Linked DNA regions of Ovis aries. The protein of the gene in region 3 interacts with the protein of the main gene of each other region in a pairwise test. Links are inferred from orthologs where the notes say so. Each region holds a gene or a part of one and is shown on either strand. Other genes may lie near its edges.

Evidence for each region. The genes of interacting proteins can lie anywhere in the genome.
Region 1: the proteins of TSEN54 (region 3) and TSEN2 interact in a two-hybrid assay, tested with the Homo sapiens proteins (2 studies listed by BioGRID and IntAct). The two-hybrid records come from large-scale screens. The link is inferred for Ovis aries from reciprocal best matches to the Homo sapiens genes TSEN54 and TSEN2.
Region 2: the proteins of TSEN54 (region 3) and CLP1 interact in binary tests that used the Homo sapiens proteins (3 or more experiments, as listed by UniProt). The link is inferred for Ovis aries from reciprocal best matches to the Homo sapiens genes TSEN54 and CLP1.

What each region holds. Positions count from the first base shown.
Region 1 is NC_056072.1:56,588,963-56,594,960, forward strand, and holds the start of TSEN2 (tRNA-splicing endonuclease subunit Sen2), read right to left. Parts: upstream 4,261-5,998; 5' UTR 4,230-4,260; intron 3,745-4,229; 5' UTR 3,656-3,744; intron 279-3,655; 5' UTR 1-278.
Region 2 is NC_056068.1:79,713,221-79,718,790, reverse strand, and holds the end of CLP1 (polyribonucleotide 5'-hydroxyl-kinase Clp1), read right to left. Parts: intron 4,767-5,570; exon of another isoform or gene 3,902-4,766; 5' UTR 3,859-3,901; coding exon 3,253-3,858; intron 2,695-3,252; coding exon 2,023-2,694; 3' UTR 1,629-2,022; downstream 1-1,628. UniProt on the Homo sapiens protein: Polynucleotide kinase that can phosphorylate the 5'-hydroxyl groups of double-stranded RNA (dsRNA), single-stranded RNA (ssRNA), double-stranded DNA (dsDNA) and double-stranded DNA:RNA hybrids. dsRNA is phosphorylated more efficiently than dsDNA, and the RNA component of a DNA:RNA hybrid is phosphorylated more efficiently than the DNA component.
Region 3 is NC_056064.1:55,365,860-55,372,128, forward strand, and holds the start of TSEN54 (tRNA-splicing endonuclease subunit Sen54), read right to left. Parts: upstream 3,880-6,269; 5' UTR 3,869-3,879; coding exon 3,813-3,868; intron 3,646-3,812; coding exon 3,481-3,645; intron 3,370-3,480; coding exon 3,306-3,369; intron 3,222-3,305; coding exon 3,138-3,221; intron 2,799-3,137; coding exon 2,700-2,798; intron 1,602-2,699; coding exon 1,549-1,601; intron 630-1,548; coding exon 537-629; intron 337-536; coding exon 1-336.

The DNA of each region.
Region 1 (5,998 bases), on a different chromosome or scaffold from region 3:
GTCGTCGCCTTCTCCTCCTGTCTCCAATCCCTCCCAGCATCAGAGTCTTTTCCAATGAGTCAACTCTTCGCACGAGGTGGCCAAAGTACTGGAGTTTCAGCTTTAGCATCATTCCTTCCAAAGAAATCCCAGGGCTGATCTCCTTCAGAATGGACTGGTGGATCTCCTTGCAGTCCAAGGGACTCTCAAGAGTCTTCTCCAACACCACAGTTCAAAAGCATCAATTCTTCGGCACTCAGCTTTCTTCACAGTCCAACTCTCACATCCATACATGACCACTGGAAAAACCATAGCCTTGATTAGACGGACCTTTGTTGGCAAATAGGCTATCTAGGTTGGTTATAACTTTCCTTCCAAGGAGTGTCTTTTAATTTCATGGCTGCAATCACCATCTGCAGTGATTTTGGAGCCCCCCCAAAATAAAGTCTGACACTATTTCCACTAATTCCCCATCTATTTCCCGTGAAGTGATGGGACCAGATGCCATGCTCTTAGTTTTAGGCCCATTAAGAAGAAACCCAGGGACTTCCCTGGTAGTCCAGAAGCTTAAGACCCTGTGTTCCCAGTGCTGGGGGCCCGGGTTCCATCCCTAGTCACGGAACTAGATCTCCCAAGCCACAACTAAGAGTCTGCCGGGCACAATTAAGAACCCATTGCCAGCACTAAGGCAGGGCACAACCAAATAATTAAAAATAATTAAAAATAAACATTAAGGAAGCGTGCGTGTGTTGCTACAGACTCATTGGCCACGTGTGTGCTCAGACTTTTTGATTTTTGCTCATGAGACAGCAGAGAAATAGTATCCGGTGTGGCTGCAATTTAGCCTTTTTAAAATATTTCAATTTTTTTCTGTATGGTTTTTCATTTCTCATATGGTTGAGGTCATGCTGTGGATACGAGGGGAGACAGACACGCCGGTCCTTTAACGAGCCCACGGGCCAGATGGGAAGACAGACAGACAGACACAAATCATTCCTGGCAGGACAACGAGCACCAAGGACAGCAGGGACAGGAAAGCGAGCCCCCCCGCCCAGCAGACCCACTCCTCCCAGAGATGCACGACTCTTCCACTCTTTCTCCCACAGGCTAGGAGCCTGCATGCTGCAGCTAAAAAAAAAAAAAAAAGATCCCAAGTGCCGCAAGACCCAGCGCACCCAAACAAATGAATGATTAGGGAAAAGAAAGAAATCAAAAGCACTGTCCCATGTGTAAGGATTCCTCTAGCCACTCTCCAAAAGACGTGAAGGAATTAAATGAGGACAAAGGAAAAGAGAAACCAGGGACGTTAAGACGGTGACAACCAGTTACAATAGGAACTATAAATAAAGAATCAGCAAGTTGGCAGATTGCTTCATAAGATTGCTATAGAGTATTCCAGACAGCAAAATGCTAAGATTCTAAATGAGTCCCCCAACAGATGTAAATATTGAGCATGACTATATACATTTCATATACATATATACGTGTATCTATGCACACATCTTGCCATATAGTGTTCAGAACAAAACTATGTATACCACGTGTTAATGGGCAATTAAGAGATTCCCCCTCAAGAGCATTTAAAGTAGACTTTCACTTGCCAATTTGTCACTCAACCCAAGCAACTACAGCGGACCCTGAACCACATGGGGTTTACCTGCATGGGTACATGTATACCCAGACTTGTTTCAATGGTGAATGCTACAGTGATACACCATCCATGGTTGGTTGAGTCCACAGATCCTTAGCCTTAGATATAAAGGAACAAGGGATATGGAGGGGGACTGAAAATTACCCTCGGAGTTTTGATGATCACAGAGGGTCAGCACCCTCACCTTCTACGTTATTCAAGCGCCAAGTGCATTTAGCATCCAACTGAACAATCGGCAACTTATTCTAAAACTTAAAATAACGTGTCGACTTTTTTGAGGCAGGATGCTGGTTTCCAGTTAGGATTTCCAGGAATAATTCATGGACTTTTATAAGCAGTTCACTTTTATAACTTAACCGCTGCTTAGTATTTGACTTGTATATATTACATTAAAAGATTTTTAAAAACAGAAAATGTTCAATGACTAACTTCACACACTTCCAATTAAATTCTCTCAAACCAGTGAAAGAGAAAAGTTCTGTTTTAATGTGCTTAGATTGCTTAGGATTCTCCCTTTCAGACTGCTGTTATACTCTTAAAGAAAGCCTAGAATGAGCTCTGACACTGGATGCAAGAACTCTGTACTTCAACCCACGTTGGCATCATAGAAGGTTCCTCTAACAAGACTCCCTGCTTTTCACAAGACCTCCAAATTTTAGAGGTCTGGCGTCGCCTCTGTGCGTGTGGCCGCATGGACATCAAGGAGGATGCGCCTCTCAGTAGGCCTTCCAAATGTGCAGTGCTACCATTACGATCGTGTGATTTTAACAACCCACGTATGGTCCCTGAACTCAATGTCATCTTCAAATTGATCAGGACTAGAAAACTGTGGAAGCCACTCACACATTAAACTAAGACCTGGTGCAGCCAAATAAGGAAATAAATAATAAAAAGATTTTTAAAAAGATGCTGCATCCATATAGGCTTTCCTGGTTGGTAAAGAATCCGCCTGCCAGTGCAGGAGACTCGGGTTCGATCCCTCGGTCTGGAAGATCCCCTGGAGAAGGAAATGGCAACCCACTTTAGTATTTCTGCCTGGGAAATCCCATGGACAGAGGAGCTTGGCAGGCTACAGTCCATGGGGTCCCAAAGAGTCAGACATGACTTAGCAACTAAAGAACAACATATCCACGTATTGGAATATTACCAGCAATTAACAGGAATGAAGGTTAAGAGGGAATTCTCTGACTTCTCAGCAGACTTTAAGACTCTCTGCTTTCACTGCTAAGGTTCAATCCCTGGTTGAGGAACTAAGTTCCTACAAGCCATAACGTGTGGCCAAAAAAAAAAAAAAAACAAACCAGTTTAAAAGATTAAGAAAATTGACCTGGGGTCATATATAACAGTGGCTCTCAAGCTTGGCTGCTCTTAGAATCACCTGGGGAAATTGTGAAACTCCCAATGCCGAGGCCTAACCTACAATTACATCAAAAGGTCAGAGATGGGGTCCAGGCGATTTCAATATGCAGTCCATGGTTGCAGCCACTAGAGATAGGATGGCCTATTCAAACTCGATGCCAACAGCCATCCCACTGGAGAGAGGGGGAAAGGGGCTAGGGGCTGGCGCCGAGCGCCACGCACCTGTAAGGGGCTGTTCCTTTTGCTTTTCCAAACCTGGCTGTATGACTCCAGGGACCCACAGTGTTAAGTACACTATACATTTAGTTTTCTAGCAGGGCTTGTTCCTAATTCTTCCCTTGAGCACACAAGCTAACATCTTTTAGGTGTTCCGTAAATGTTTATTCCAAACAAAACAAAGGAAGACAAAAAGGAAGGGGGGGAGGTACCATTATTTAATTTTCCAACCCCCTGGGCCCACTTTGCCCAACCAGCTGGTTAAAGCCTCCCACTCAGAACTCACATTCTCCCTATCAAAAAAACAACAACACAAAAAAACACGCTCGAGGCTCCAAGTGCGTACCCTGTAGGCGAGGGGAGGCAAGGATGAAAAGGAAAAGACAATCCTGCCTCTGGGGAGCTTTCAGGTTAGAACCCGAGACTAAGACACACAAACAAAAGTTAAACCTTTGAAGACTGATGGGGGGATTGTGGATCGAGCCTGGTACTGGGCTTCCCATGTGATGTGCGAGCCAGGCGAAAAGCTGCAGCTGCAACTAATGAGCAAAAAAAAAAAAAAAAAGTCAAGGGCTCAACAGACTCTCCCAACTCCGTGTCATAACCTGTCCCTTTGCCGGGCTCCTACAGCGGCGCCCAGCAACCCTACTAGCGACCAAAGAAGGCTCCCCTAGGGCACGGTCTGTTATCAGATGCACCCGCCTTACTCTGCCCGCGGCACTCTGCCCCGCGGGGTCAGTGTTTCCACAAAAAGCATAGAAAAGAGAGAGTTGCAGATACACGGAGGAGGGGAAAGGGGGCTAATATTCCGGCAGAACTAGAAGCCGGGCCCTGCGTCCCGGCCCAGTTCCGCGTGGCTGTGCGCCCGGAAGAACGTCCCAGGACCGCTTCTACTCTAGCCCCGGAGAGCGTTCTGAAAAGGCGAGGCCTCCTCCCGCGGATGAGCCCCCCCCCTACCCTCCAAGGGCCACGGCCACCGCGCTCGGCGCCTCGAGCCTGCTCCCGGGGGCCCAGGGTACCCTACCTTCCTCCGCCCCCAGCGCGCGCGCGGCGTTACCCCGGCAACGCCGGCCGGGAGACGGACACCGCTGCCGTCAAGCAGCGCAGCCGCAAAGCCGGGCGACTGCGCAGCCGTGGAGCCCGCGAGAGCGCCCGCCGGGTCTGTGCGTAGCGCGCCTGCGCGAGGCCTACAGGCGGGTCTCAGTGGGGTGTGACCCCCGGTGTGAGTCGCGGGCGGCGTGTCCTTTTTCCTGCGCTTCCCGAGATTGTACCGATAGCCCCTCTGCACAGGTGCTGTTCTCGTTTAATCCCCACAGCAGTCCCACAAGATCGGTTTCACAGATGAGTTCTAAGTTACTTACCCAGTGTCACGTAGCTGAGGTATTGGAGGACACGAAGCCAGGTCTTCAGGAGTTGTGGTCTTCGCCCCTGGGGAGATGGGATGCTTGAAGCGACTGCACTTGACATGACCCAAGCCCCGAGGAAGCGGGTAGGCTGAGCTCAGCCCGCAGAAGGCTGAAGCCTTCTCAACGCTTCTGTGTAAGTGAAGCATGCAGGGAACCTGTAAGGAATTGCCCCCTCGCAGAGGGCACCGCCCAGAAGCCACGGTGGGCACCGGCTGCCCCGTTTAGCGTCCAGGACAACAGGCCTGGAGTCAGATCTGAGTTAGCATCCTCACCTCCCTCCTCACCAACTGTGTGATCTTTAGTGAGTGACAACAAGAGCCTCTTGATGAAAGTGAAAGAGCAGAGTGGAAAAGTTGGCTTAAAGCTCCACATTCAGAAAACTAAGATCATGGCATCCGGCCCCATCACTTCATGGGAAATAGATGGGTAAACAGTGGAAACAGTGACCGACTTTATTTTGGGAGGGGCTCCAAAATCACTGCAGATGGTGACTGCAGCCATGAAATTAAGATGCTTACTCCTTGGAAGGAAAGTTATGACCAACCTAGACAGCACATTAAAAAGCAGAGACATTACTTTGCCAACAAAGGTCTGTCTAGTCAAGGCTATGGTTTTTCCAGTGGTCATGTATGGATGTGAGAGTTGGACTGTGAAGAAAGCTGAGTGCCGAAGAATTGATGCTTTTGAACTGTGGTGTTGGAGAAGACTCTTGAGAGCCCCTTGGACTGCAAGGACATCCAACTAAAGGAAATCAGTCCTGAATATTCATTGGAAAGACTGATGCTGAAGCTGAAACTCCAATATTTTGGCCACCTGATACGAGGAACTGACTCATTTGAAAAGACCCTGATGCTGGGAAAGATTGAACACAGAAGAAGCAGGAGACAGGATGACATGGTTGGATGGCATCACTGACTCAATGGACATGAGTTTGAGTAAACTCCGGGAGTTGGTGATGGACAGGGAAGCCTGGTATGCTGCAGTCCATGGGGTCACAAAGAACTGGACCTTTCTGAACCACAGTTTCCTCTATTAAAAAATGGGTCATCAGGATCATGAGGGATGAGCAAAACCAAAGGTGCCTTGGGAATTATAAAAGCTTCTACCTGGTTTTAAAGGAGGCCTGGTAGGGAGTGCAGTATATACCTTCGTAAAATAAATCCCAGGGTCCCCAGCAAACATACCACACATGCTGGGCAGTGTGGAAGGCAGGTGGCAGGAAAGGGTGGCAGATAACGCCAGAGAGATTAATGAGGCTGAGTGTGACGGGCTCTGAAATCCGGACCTTCCCCAACCTCCTCTTGTCTCCAGACCTTCGCGAACACTGTGGCCTCCACCTGGAACATCCTTCTCCTGGGTCCGCAGCAGTGACCCCTGGCTGCCCTGT
Region 2 (5,570 bases), on a different chromosome or scaffold from region 3:
CTGCCCTCTTCTGAATCATTAATTCTCACACGGACCCTACCTCAAAAGTCCAACTTGTGTTCTTGCTTCTTTCCTTGCCTCTATAATCCATTTTCTGCCCAGCAGTAATCTTTTCAATGTAAATTAAAACATGCCATTCCTGTGTTCAACCACCTGCAATGGTATGAATTTTGGGGCCCCCACCCCCACAGTTCTTATGCCAAAATCCCCAATATTAGATGAAACCTTTGAAAGATGCTTAGATCATGAATGTAGACCTTCATGAATGGGATTAGTGCTTTTATCAACAAGGCTCCAGAGAGCTCCCCGCCCCTCTCACTCTGTGAGGACACAGTTGAAGCCGGCCATCTGCAACTTGGAAGAAAGAGAGCCCTTGGCAGAGCGTGACTGCTGGGTGCCTTGGATTTGGCCTTTCCAGCCTTCAGAAACCTGACCATTTTCAGATGTTTCTAAGTTACCCAGTCCGTGTTTTTGTTGTAGTTCAGTCCCTAAATCGTGTCTGATTCTCACAATCCCATGGACTGCAGCACACCAGGCTCCTCTGTCCTTGACTATCTCCCAAGAGTATGCTCAATTTCATGTCCATTGAGTGAGTGGGTAGGTGATGGTATCTGACCATCTCATCCTCTGCCACCCTCTTCTTCCTTTTCCTTCAGTCTTTCCAGCATCAGGTCTTTCCAGTTAGTCAGCTCTTCGCGTCAGATGGCCAGAGTATTGGAGCTTCTTACGCCTCTCCATTTCCCACTCTTCTTGGATTACAAAAGCCCTACACTATCTGGTCTTTGCTGCCTCCCACCTCGGCCTGAGTTTTTCCCTCTCCCCTTGATTTGCTGTATCACTCCCACAATGCTGGCCTTTCCCTTCATCCAACACACTCAGCTTGCTCCTTTCTTAGGGTTTTGCCCTGCTTCCTCCACCAGGAAGATTCTGTCCCAGTTGCACACAGCCATTCAAAAGAGGCCTTTCCTGACCACCTGATTTAAAAAGCCTCCTGGCCATTCCGCCTCCTATGGCCCGATCTTAAGCCTCTCTGCACAGCACCTCACTTTTTATGTTTACTATAAGCTCTGTAAGACTGTCCAGCTCGTCCCCCCGTCTAGAAAGGTCCTTGTCACATAGTAGGTGCATGATAAAAATTTGTGGAAAGAATCAATGGATAAGGTCATCATGATACTTACTCAATAATACAAGTCCAAACTAGAGAAACCAATTATTTGCAAGAGATCAAAGAGAATGGGCTGTTCCAGCTTATCACCTGAAAGCTCAAATTTACTTTTTGACTTGGGATCTGATTCCAATTAAACAGACAACAGGAAAGAGAGCAGAGAGCTGTAGCTGAGAGAAAATGAGCTATCTCTGGATAATATCAAATCTGAAATCTCACCCCAAGTTTACCACCACCTGTTTAGTTCCTCATAGTAAACCCATCACTGACAACAGATTTAGGATCTATTTACCCAAGTGCAGAGGAAAAGGAAACCATCATAAACATTTACCTGCTTAGCTCACAGGTGGGCTCTTGGCTTTCTTCTTCTCTAGGCATTCAGTAATAAATCATTCCAATAATGTTTCTATAATGCTTAGGGGGAAAAAACCCAAGCTTTAAAAAATTATACCAACTCCTGTGCTATGGCAAAAATATTTATTAAAATAGTTTTTTCTTTTTTCCCAAGTATGAACTTAATTGGGAGGAGTCCTTTGAATTCACTCTTTCATCCCAGACAAACGAGATAAGCAGTGTATGCAGAACCTAAAACGGTGACAAATGAGCCCACAAGGCGGCACGGTGCAAGAAAGGGGGCTTCTCTGGTGGCACCTTAGGGGACCCAAGAAACCTCTGGCTCACAACTGGAAGAGTTAGGTGGCCACCACCTGTTTTTAAGAGGTAGAACATATGCTTTCCGGTAGTCCACCATTTACCGAGCAGCCGGGCCGCAGGAGGTGCTCATCCCTCAGCCCGTCTGCCCTTGGTGATGGCCAGAAGGCCTCCAGGCCCCAGGCAGCAAGGCTGCCTGAGGATCGCTACTTAAGATCCATGAACCGGATATCCATGATGAGCAGGAAGTTCTTGGGCAGCGGGCGGGGGGCGGGGGAGAGGACGGTGAACACCTGGTGCTCCAGGTCCACGCTGGTCACCACAATGAAGCCCGCCACGCTGGTCTCCGAGAGGCTCTCCTCGGCGCCCTCGGCGGTGCTGACGCTCAGCAGGTGGTGCACCATATCTCGGCCGGGGGTGACGGGCACCAGCTTGAGCTGATTGTCCTCCTGAGACATGCCCAGAGGCAGGCAGGAGTCTGGGATGGTGGGTGCCCCGACTTTGTAGATTTTCACATCTGAAAATTTGACGTTGAAGGCATGGGGATAAAAACAGCCCCGGAACCCATAGAAATACTCACGGATGCGCTCATCCCGGCATTCCCGCCGGAAGTCCTTGGAGCGCTCCACCACACCCCCCGACTTGGGGAGCAGCACCGTGCGGACGAAGTGAGGCAGGTCCCGCTTCAGCTCGTTGTACAGCCGTTCTTGATCCAGAACCACGACGACATCCACCTCAAAGGCTGAGGCTGCGTGGACCAGGGCCTGGTAACCAGAGCCCTTGACCCAGCCACAGGTGTTAATGACACAGCCGCTCACCGAGGCCCTGCGGTTCACTTCACACCTTTGGTTGAACACATCAGCTAAACGAGATGTAATCTGCAGAAGAAAGGGTCCAGGTGAGACAGAAAAGGCACAAAACCAACCCTCGGCCACACGATCCTTCCTGAGCCTAAGTGGTATCAGGTTCAGGGAAAAGGACATTTCTAATGGCAGTGGTGTTTCATGTCCCAAGTTGAAATGTAATAAATCACTCAGGAGTGAAGTGAAGTCGCTCAGTCGTGTCTGACATTTTGCGACCCCATGGGCTGTAGCCTGCCAGCTTCCTCCGTGCATGGGATTCTCCAGGCGAGAGTACTGGAGTGGGTTGCCATGCCCTCCACCAGGGGAATCTTCCCATCTTCCCAACCCAGGGACTGAACCCGGGTCTCCCGCATTGTAGGCAGACGCTTTACCGTCTGAGCCACCAGGGAAGAATAGGACCTACTTAAGAATAGGTCCCTAGAAATGTTTAACCATCTGAGATTGAACTATTTTTGAAACGGTCTTTTCCAAAACCCATCACCGTGGAAGTGATAGCCACTGAGAGGGGACAGAGAGTTTCAACCAGCAAACGCCGGCCCCCTCCCTCCACCGCGCCTTGCCCCGGGCTCTGACCTTATTATAAAGCTTGATGTTGGTGCCGGGCGTGGTGGAGCCGAAGTGGTACACCAGCGGGGCCTGGATGGAGAACCCCTCCTCAACGTCCGCCGGCCGCTCGATGTAGAGGGCCCCCATGGTGCCGGGGATGGACACAGAGCCCTGGCCCACATCCAGCTCCACGTACGTGGGACGGCGGCCCAGACGCACCGCGTAGTTGAGCAGCAGACGGCACACGGTGGACTTGCCCACGTCCGTGGGGCCCACGACCATCACCCGGGGGCCCCGCTCCTCCTCCTTCTCGGCCTGCCTCCGCATCTGCTCCAAGGCCGTATGTGTGTTGAGATAAAGCAACATTGGGGTGTCCTTGGAGACGTAAGCCACCTCGGTGCGCCCACTGAGCTGCAGCGAACAGCCGTGCCAAGTGAAGACAGCCACCTTGGCGCCAGCATCAAAGGTGAACTTCTTGTTTCGGGTCAGCTCTGTGCCGAAGATTTCTGCCATGCCAGCCAGCAGCTCCAACTGAACTGACTGCGACGCCTCCACCTCAAAGCGAAGCTCTGTCTCCCGCTCCAGTTCAAATTTAGTTGTTGGCTTCTTGTCATCATTGGCCTCCTCTCCCATCTTTCCTGTGTGGCTGCTTTTGTCTGGAACGCCAGAATCAGATCTAAACAGAAGTTAGGGCTCGGTTCAAAATCCTCCAGAGTATGTTTCTCCTTACTTTGCTTTATTCTCCCCCCTTCTCTCTCATCACCACCTGACCCACTATATATCTGATTATTGTCTACCCACCCTCACTAGAAGGTAAGGGTTGGGCATTTAGGTTTGCTGCCCGTAACCCCAGTACCTAAAATAGAGCCTGACACCAAAAGGCACCTCTGTAAAAACACCGAGTGAATAACTGACTCAGACGTCGGCGGAAAACAAGATACCTACATACCCGCAGACTTGGTTACAGCGCCTTTGTTGCTCCCTTCATCACTACCACGCTTTCGAGTACTCCAGACTTGAAAAAGCTACAGATGCCCAGTCCCTAACCCTTGGGTCAACAAAAAAGGGAGTCAGCAATCTGGAGGCAGAGCAGAGAATACCGAGTTGGGACTCAGAAGCAAACAGCATCAAGGAAACCGTTCAGCAACCACTAGCAGTGTCTTTGAACAAATCACTTAGCTCGTCTAAACCTTTTCCTCCACTGTCAACTGGAGGCGCTTACAGTTCCCCTAAAGTGCTGTTCTGGGGGTTAACCGGGATGGTCGGAGGGAAAGAAAAAAATTAGTAAACTAGAAAGCGCCGAGGAACAGCAAAGAATTATCTCCGATGCAGATCGCAGCTCCAGGTCTAGCATTCGTCCCAGCCTCCCCAGACACCGAAATCTGCGCAGGCTCTAAGGAGGCGGCGGTTGCGATCCTGAACTTACTACCTCACCTGTACAGCCACGAGCTCAAACCTGTAAACCAAGAACACAGGACCTAAGCCCAGAAGCCAGACGCGCTCACCGAGACCACGCCGGAAACAAACGTTTCCGCACTTGCGCAGTGGGGAAGGCGCGGCCGCGCGAGGCCCCCTGGGAGATGTAGTTGTACCCGAGCTGTCGCGAGCGGTCGCGCTCTGGCCGCCGCTTGGCCCTCTGGGACTTGTAGTCAAGGGTGGGGGTTGACCGTGACGTCAAAGGCGGGCGGGGCGGCTGCCGTCATTGTTCGTCAAGCAGCTGGGGAGGGAGGCAGGGGGCGTGGTGGTTACGCCTCCGTGCGCGGTGAGGACCAGCCGCGGAGGGGACACGGCCGCGGAGGCGCCGCAGCTGTGGGCTCTCTCCCCGTCGCTCCCGCTCACCTGCGGCCCGGGAAGCGCCCCACAGTCGCCTGGAAGCGGGGCGCGGATCCCTGTGTGGATACGAGGGGACCTAGGGGTAGCGAGAGGGGAGCCAAGCAGCTCATCAGAGGCTAACTGGACTACCATCCCCGTCCCGACACAGCGTTTGACCCCTGGGGAGCATTTCAGAACATTTTACTTAAGGGAGAGAATGAAACATAGATTTCTTCCAGTTACTCTGCAAGGTAGTCATTACTCAACAACCCCTCTCCTGTTAGGCGGAGAGCTTTGCTGGGGACTCTTTCCCTCCCCAAGTCTCTGATGGTTATACAAGGGCAAGCATCACCCTGCAAGCAACAGATTGGGCCGCATCTATACGTTCAGACGGTAAAGCGTCTCTGCAAGGTGGGAGACCCGTGTTCGATCCCTGCGTCGGGAAGATCCCCTGGAGAAGGGGAAGGCTACCCACCCCAGTATTCTGGCCTGGAGAATCCCATGGACGGAGGAGCCTGGAGAGCTGCAGTCCA
Region 3 (6,269 bases):
AGGAGAGTATGGCGGCTGTCTGCAGCCATGTTGGGGAAGGAGATCTGCTCAAAGTTCCAGCGGGGCTTACAAGCCCCCATAACCCCGTCTTCTATTTTGCCATTCTCTGGGCTGCATTGTGCCCCCTCCCTGCCCAGACCAGGGCAGGGTTCCAGGGACCCCAGCAGCTGAAGGGGGCCTACGGGGCTCTTTACAGGGTTTGACTCCTGGGGTTTCTCCTCTGGGCGGCAGCTGTTGTGGTTCTGGGGAGGTGGGCTGCAAGCTGCTGGGCTCTCAGGTGTTCCATCCATCCCCTGCAGGGGGTTCTGCAGGGCCTTGGGCTTCTTATTAATAGACCTGAGGGACGTGGGGAGGAAACGCAGTCCATCTGCTCCTGACTGCTGAGGTGCACGTGACCCCCACAAGCCATACTGCCTCCCTGAGCCCCTGCAGGAGCCGCCCCAGCCCAACTCTTAAGCCCAGGCATTCTCCAAGGTCCCGAACACCAGCACTTCCACAGAACTCTCCCTGTGGGGTGGCCACGTGGGGAGCATTACTGAGAGCTGGAGCTTCTCCTCTTCCTCTTGCCCTCCAGGCACTGGGCACCGCTGTCCAAGTTCAGCTGCCGCTCGTACGGGGACAGGACGGAGCTGTGGGTGAGAATGGGGTAGGGGGTGGGCAACTGATCCACCTCCTCAGTCTGGTGCTCCCCTTGGAATGTGTGAGGGACTGGCCCAGACTACGTCAGCGGGCCAGGGCTAGAACTGTAACCAAGGGCGGGAGCCCCAGGCAGACCCCACACAGAGTAACGGGGGCAGACACAGGGGCCTCCCTGCGCATCTTTGTCCAGGCCTCTGGGTCTCATCAGTGGTACCTTTGAACAGAGGTTCCCTGACATCAGAGCTCCTGCAGAGCCAGCAATAAATAACACTGGTGAGAAAAGTTAGGAGAACTGGAAAACTTGGAAAATAAAGGAAAATGAAAATAAAACCCAATGGATACCAAGGTAACATTTTGTTTCCTACAAACACACATATTGACTGTCTTTCTCCATATCTTTCTCTGTCAAAAATGACACTGTACTAATATACAGCTGTTTGGTCCTTTTTATACTCAACAATATATTATGGCCCTTTATTCTTCCCCGCCATGATTTTTTTCTTATGGCTGTGAGGCTGTACTGTCCATTATAGTAGCCCTAGATACAAGGGGCTATTTAAGTTAAATTTAAATCTATTAAAATTAAAAATTCCACACAAGCCACATATACTGGACAACACAGACATTAAATATTTTTGTCTACAGAAAGTCCTATCAGATAGTGCTGATCTAAGGGATAAACTCTAATCTGTGTGACCACGCTTTCCCTGTTTGGCTTATAGGAGGTTTCCAAGATCACTGATTTTGCAAAGTGATGGTGTTTTGTGTAAGCTCCCCTAAACACAAGTTCTGTGGGGTAGTGCTTTTGTTCTCTGCTATTCTTCAGCAGCCAGCACCCAGTAAGCAGTCAGTGTTGTGCTTAGTCGCTGGGGACTAGGATAAATTCGAGGGAAATAAACAGGGATTTACCTTGGTTGGAATCGTCGAACCACATAGCCGAGTCTCTTCAGGTGGCTGAAGACCTCAAAAAGACAAACCAGAAGTCAGACATCCACTTATGAAAACAAACTGTTCTCCACACAGAAGCCATTCACCACACCCCCAGATTCCAAACCCTGGTACTGGCAGGACCATACTGTCTAATAAACACCCTCCCCACACTGAGGTCTCAAGTCTCTGAGTTCCTGTCTCTCACTGGCCTTACCCTGGGCACAAATGACAGCAGTTTCTTGATTTAAATGCAAATCCCAAAAAGCTGATAGCTGATGGACCAGGGAAAAAACTATAAGCCAAAATATTTTGACAAAAGCTGTCACAAGTGAAGCTCCTGACTACAATACAGACAAGACAAACAGAAGGAGATGGACATCCTGCTGCCCCACAACACTTCCAAAGATGGGTGGGTTTTGGATGAACCGCATGTTCCTCCGTGTGGCCCTGCATCCGTATATGAGCAATGTATGCAGGTATGCCCCAGCTTGCTTGATCTCTCAGTAGCATTCAACGCAGCCAAGCACTTCCTCCTGAAAAGACCTTGTGGTCTCTCTGATGCCCCCTCTCCTGGTCTTCTCCGCTGCTGGACACTCCTCACATCCGTTATCTTCCCCCTGATCTCCTCATATTAGAGTGCCCCAGATTTCAGACACAGGCCTCTACTCTGGCCACACCTCCCTACAGCCTGGTGGAGCCTGAAATATCCATGCCATCAAGATCTCCACATTTATGTCTCTAGCCTTGTGCCCCTCCTCCTCTGTGTTTTTCCTGGCACTCAACTCTGAAGTCAACCATCCATTTGCTTTCTTACCTATATATTACCCAAGTGCCACCCCTAGGACATAAGCCCTTGTCAGTCTTGGAGCCTCAGCACGTGGCTCTGTGTCCAGCACCTTGTTGTTTAGTCACTAAGTTGTGTCTGATTCTTTTGTGACCCCATGGACTGTAGCCCGCCAGGCTCCTTCTGTCCATGGGATTTCCCAGGCAAGAATACAAGAGTGGGTTGCAGTTTCCTTCTCCAGGGGACCTACCCGGTTGATTCAGAGTCTCCTGCATTGGCAGGTGGGTTCTTTACCACTGAGCCGCCAGGGAAGCTCTTGTAGGTTCTTATAAAGGGTGGCTGATACCTGGTACTGCAGGAAAGTCACTGTGTCCTCGGTCAGCAGCAGCTGGTAGGCCTCTTGGATAGACAGCGGAAGGTCTTGGTGGAAGAGCTGGATGGAGCCCTGAAAGTGCAGCCCACAGCTCAGCTTGTGAACCCTCCCTGTGGTGGCACGGCCAAGGGAGCAAATTCCCCACTCTGCTATCTGCATGCTACACCTCACACCCATCACGGCAAGAATCAGGCCGGCCAGGAAGGGGCACGGGGAGAGGGAGGCAGCGTCACTAACAGACTGGAAAGCCTGCTCCCTGCGTGACATTCTTGTCAACTGCTCCAGAAAGCAGATTACAAGCCCCCGCCCCCACCCGAATACTCGGTTGTAGACACCTTTTCCCTGAGTAGAAACGCCCTTCCGGTTCCTTGGTCACAATCCCCTCTCCACTCTCCCAGGGGCCCCACTCACACACTCCAGGAGATACAAGGCCTCTTCTGGATGAAGCCGCTGCCGGCCCTGCTCTGAGAAGCCCATGGTCTGCCAGAATTTACCCTGCGGGGGACCCAGAGCACTGTCATGAAGGAGTCCGGGAAGGCAGAGGAGGCGGGTCCCCGGTCCCTGAGCCCCGCCGCTCACCGCAGGAGACTTCAACTCCACGAAACCTTCTTCTGGTTTCCACTCGGCGGCCACCAAACTACCCCTGGCGAGGAGCAGGGAGAGGGGTCCGTCCCAAACCCACCGGATCAGACTTACCGGGTCCAGCAGCCCAGCCCGCCCCGGCTCCGCCCCCGCCCCGGCCCGCCCCTCTCACAGGCGCTCCACGCGCTCCTCGGCCAGCAGCTGCCAGAGCTCCTGGCGGCACAAGCGCAGCCGCTCGGCCTGGGCCTCCGAGCCGTCAGGGAGGAAGTCCTTGGGGCCATGCGAGCGCTGGGGCAGCTTCTGGGACCGGGAACGTGCGGCGAAGAGCTCCGGGGCACTGGAGGAGAAAGGGCCGCGGCGTTAGCGCCGCGCAATCGGGGCCGCTCAGCCCAGGCTGGGGATCCCCGGCTCGGGTGCCCCGGGCTCTCTCCCGCGCCTACCCCACGGCCACGGCTCCTCCCCCCCACCCCCCACCCTCCACCCCCAGGCCCGGCCACGCCGCACCTGAGCACGCGCCCGGCCGGAACCTCCACGGAGGCCGACTCGGGCTCGGGATCCATCGGGTGGGGCTGGCCGACGCTGCGCGCGCACCGCCCCGCCCCAGCCCCCCCCGCCCCGCCCACCTCCGGGAGTCCGCGCGGCCCTAGCGCGCGCGTGTTCCACCGCCGCTCCCCGGGTCTCCGGTCCACCCACCTGCTTCCCACCTTCCTGGGTGTCCTGGGTCCTAGCGCCCGACGACAAATGTGCGCCGCGATTACTAGGGGGCGGAGAGCTTGCTAGTTTCTGGATTTGTAGGAGCCCCGCCTGCCTCTGGGGCTCCTCTCTAGTAGTTCTCGAGGAGGCTCGCGTTTGAAAGCGTCGTATGAAGAGTTATAAGGGTGACCCTCCCCTCCGCAACCCCGGACTGCCTAGTCCGCACCACCCAGGCTGGACCGGGAGGAAGGAGGGGTTAGAGAAGGGAGAACGCTGGGTTCCCCAATTCGGCTTCGCACACTGAGGGTCACCACGGGCCTCCAGGTGTAGGCTAGGGGAGCCAGCAGTTCCTTCAGGTCCTTCTGTTGGGTCCCTGCCTGGGGGCTCGGGAAGCCGGGCTTCCAGGACTTGGGGGAGCGGCGGGAGGCGCTGTCCGACCCACGGCGGTGCTGAAGCGCCACCCCAGCCGGTAGTTAGCGCCTCCCGGAGCCTGGGGTCTCCGCCGCCGCCGCCTCGAGCCGTCCCCACACGGCCCGCTAGGTGGCACCATCGCTCCGACCAGGGGCCGTCGGCCTGTGACTTCGGGTCGCGGGCGGAGGTCGCTGCGGGAGTCCCGGGAAGGACGAGGGGCGAGGAAGAAGAAAAGGGGGGTTCCCAAGTGGGATTCCTGGGTCTCGATTCCCAGCTCCCATCACATCTCGTCCTCTCTCGCACCCCGTCATACACAGGGTGTCTCTCCCGTCCGTCTGAACTCCAGAGCCTCAGGTCGCGCGCCCGGGCTCCAGTCAGGATGCCGAGGCTCGCTCTCTAGTCCCCGCCCCCCGTCCCCGCCCGCGCAGCTTCACCTGGACGCATGCGCAGACGCTCGGGCCTGGGGAGGTGGGGCGGGGCCTCGCACGGATCGGGGCGGGGCCGCAGGCTCTGACTGACAGCCCAGCTGCGCGGCCGGGACAGTCCCTCCGCTCCCGATCCGGTGGGAGGGAGGGGGGAGGGGCGGGATTTCCTGCGGGAGGCGCCGAGCCGGCCTTGGAAAAGGAGGAGAAAAAGGGGGGGGGGGCAGTGGGAGCCGCCGTCCAGGGGGCCAGGGACCGAGCAGGACCGGCCGGACCCCCGGCGGGGCGGCTGGGAAAGGTGAGACTGCGGGGCCTGATCTGGGGGTCAGCACCCTTGAGGGCGGGCACAAAGTAACTTTTCTTGCGAGATCCGCGGGCGTCTTCATCCGTCGGGTCCTTCTGTCCTCCTCGCGCCAGTACAACGTCTCCCTGCATCAATCCCTCCGGGCACTTGGCCCTCCGGTCCTTCTCGCCGCTTTGTTCCCCGGTCGGCCTGGGCTGGGCTGGGTTGGGGGGTTGCGCGGCGCTGGACTGGCATTCCGGGGGGCGGGGGAGCCAGCCCGACCCCATGCACTGCCAGGGGCGCCCTCCCCCAATGTCGGGCCGCGGGCTTTGAGCTGGAGTGCCATCTGGTTTGGGCTTGGGACTTCTGGGGAGTAAGAGAACCCCAGCTAGGGCCCCAGGCCTGCCGCGAGTCTCATGCCACGGGACTCGGGCAACAAATTCTCGGCCACTGAGAAACTGACGTAAGCTTTTCTAAAGTGAAGTCGGGGCTCTGGGGCTCAGATTCAGGCTTGGGAGGGCGGACAGCCCCATTTAGCAGCAGTACCCCAGCTCTCATCTCTGTTCTCTGCCCGGCTGCTTCTGCATCCTGCACTAGGGTGAGGATGGGTCAGCAACAGGTGCTGTAAAGCCTCACTGTCCTGCAGGCAGACCCTCAGCCAGAGACGGGGGGCCATAGCTCCCCACTCCACCTTCTGAATTCATAAAGAGCCCTGGGGCTAGGGCTTCCGGTGATCAGGGCAGAGCCTAGATGGGGAGGGGTGATCCCTGCCAGTCCTCCTGTGCCTGACCCTCCCAGGCCCCACCTTCTGGCCCACCACTTGTCTGTGGGTGTCAGAGCCTCAGGCTGTGGAGAACAGGCTGCTGGCCCGACCTGCCCCCGTGTGTCGTGCTGCCAGGGCCCCTCCTGCCCAGAGTTGAGGTACTGCCAGGTGCCCTGGGGCCTCGGTGACTCAGCCTCCCCCTCCCAGAGCACCCCCTCCCCCCCTCCCAATACTCCTCTCATGCATGGCAGCTCCCTCCCACTTAGAGTGGCTCAGCCTCTCCCTTGACTTAGAAGGGCAGCCAGGGTAACTTGGGGGCTCCCTGGAAGCTCTGTCCTGTTCTTTCTCTGAGCCCTGCTTCTGGGACCCTTACAGACTCCAACCCAGCC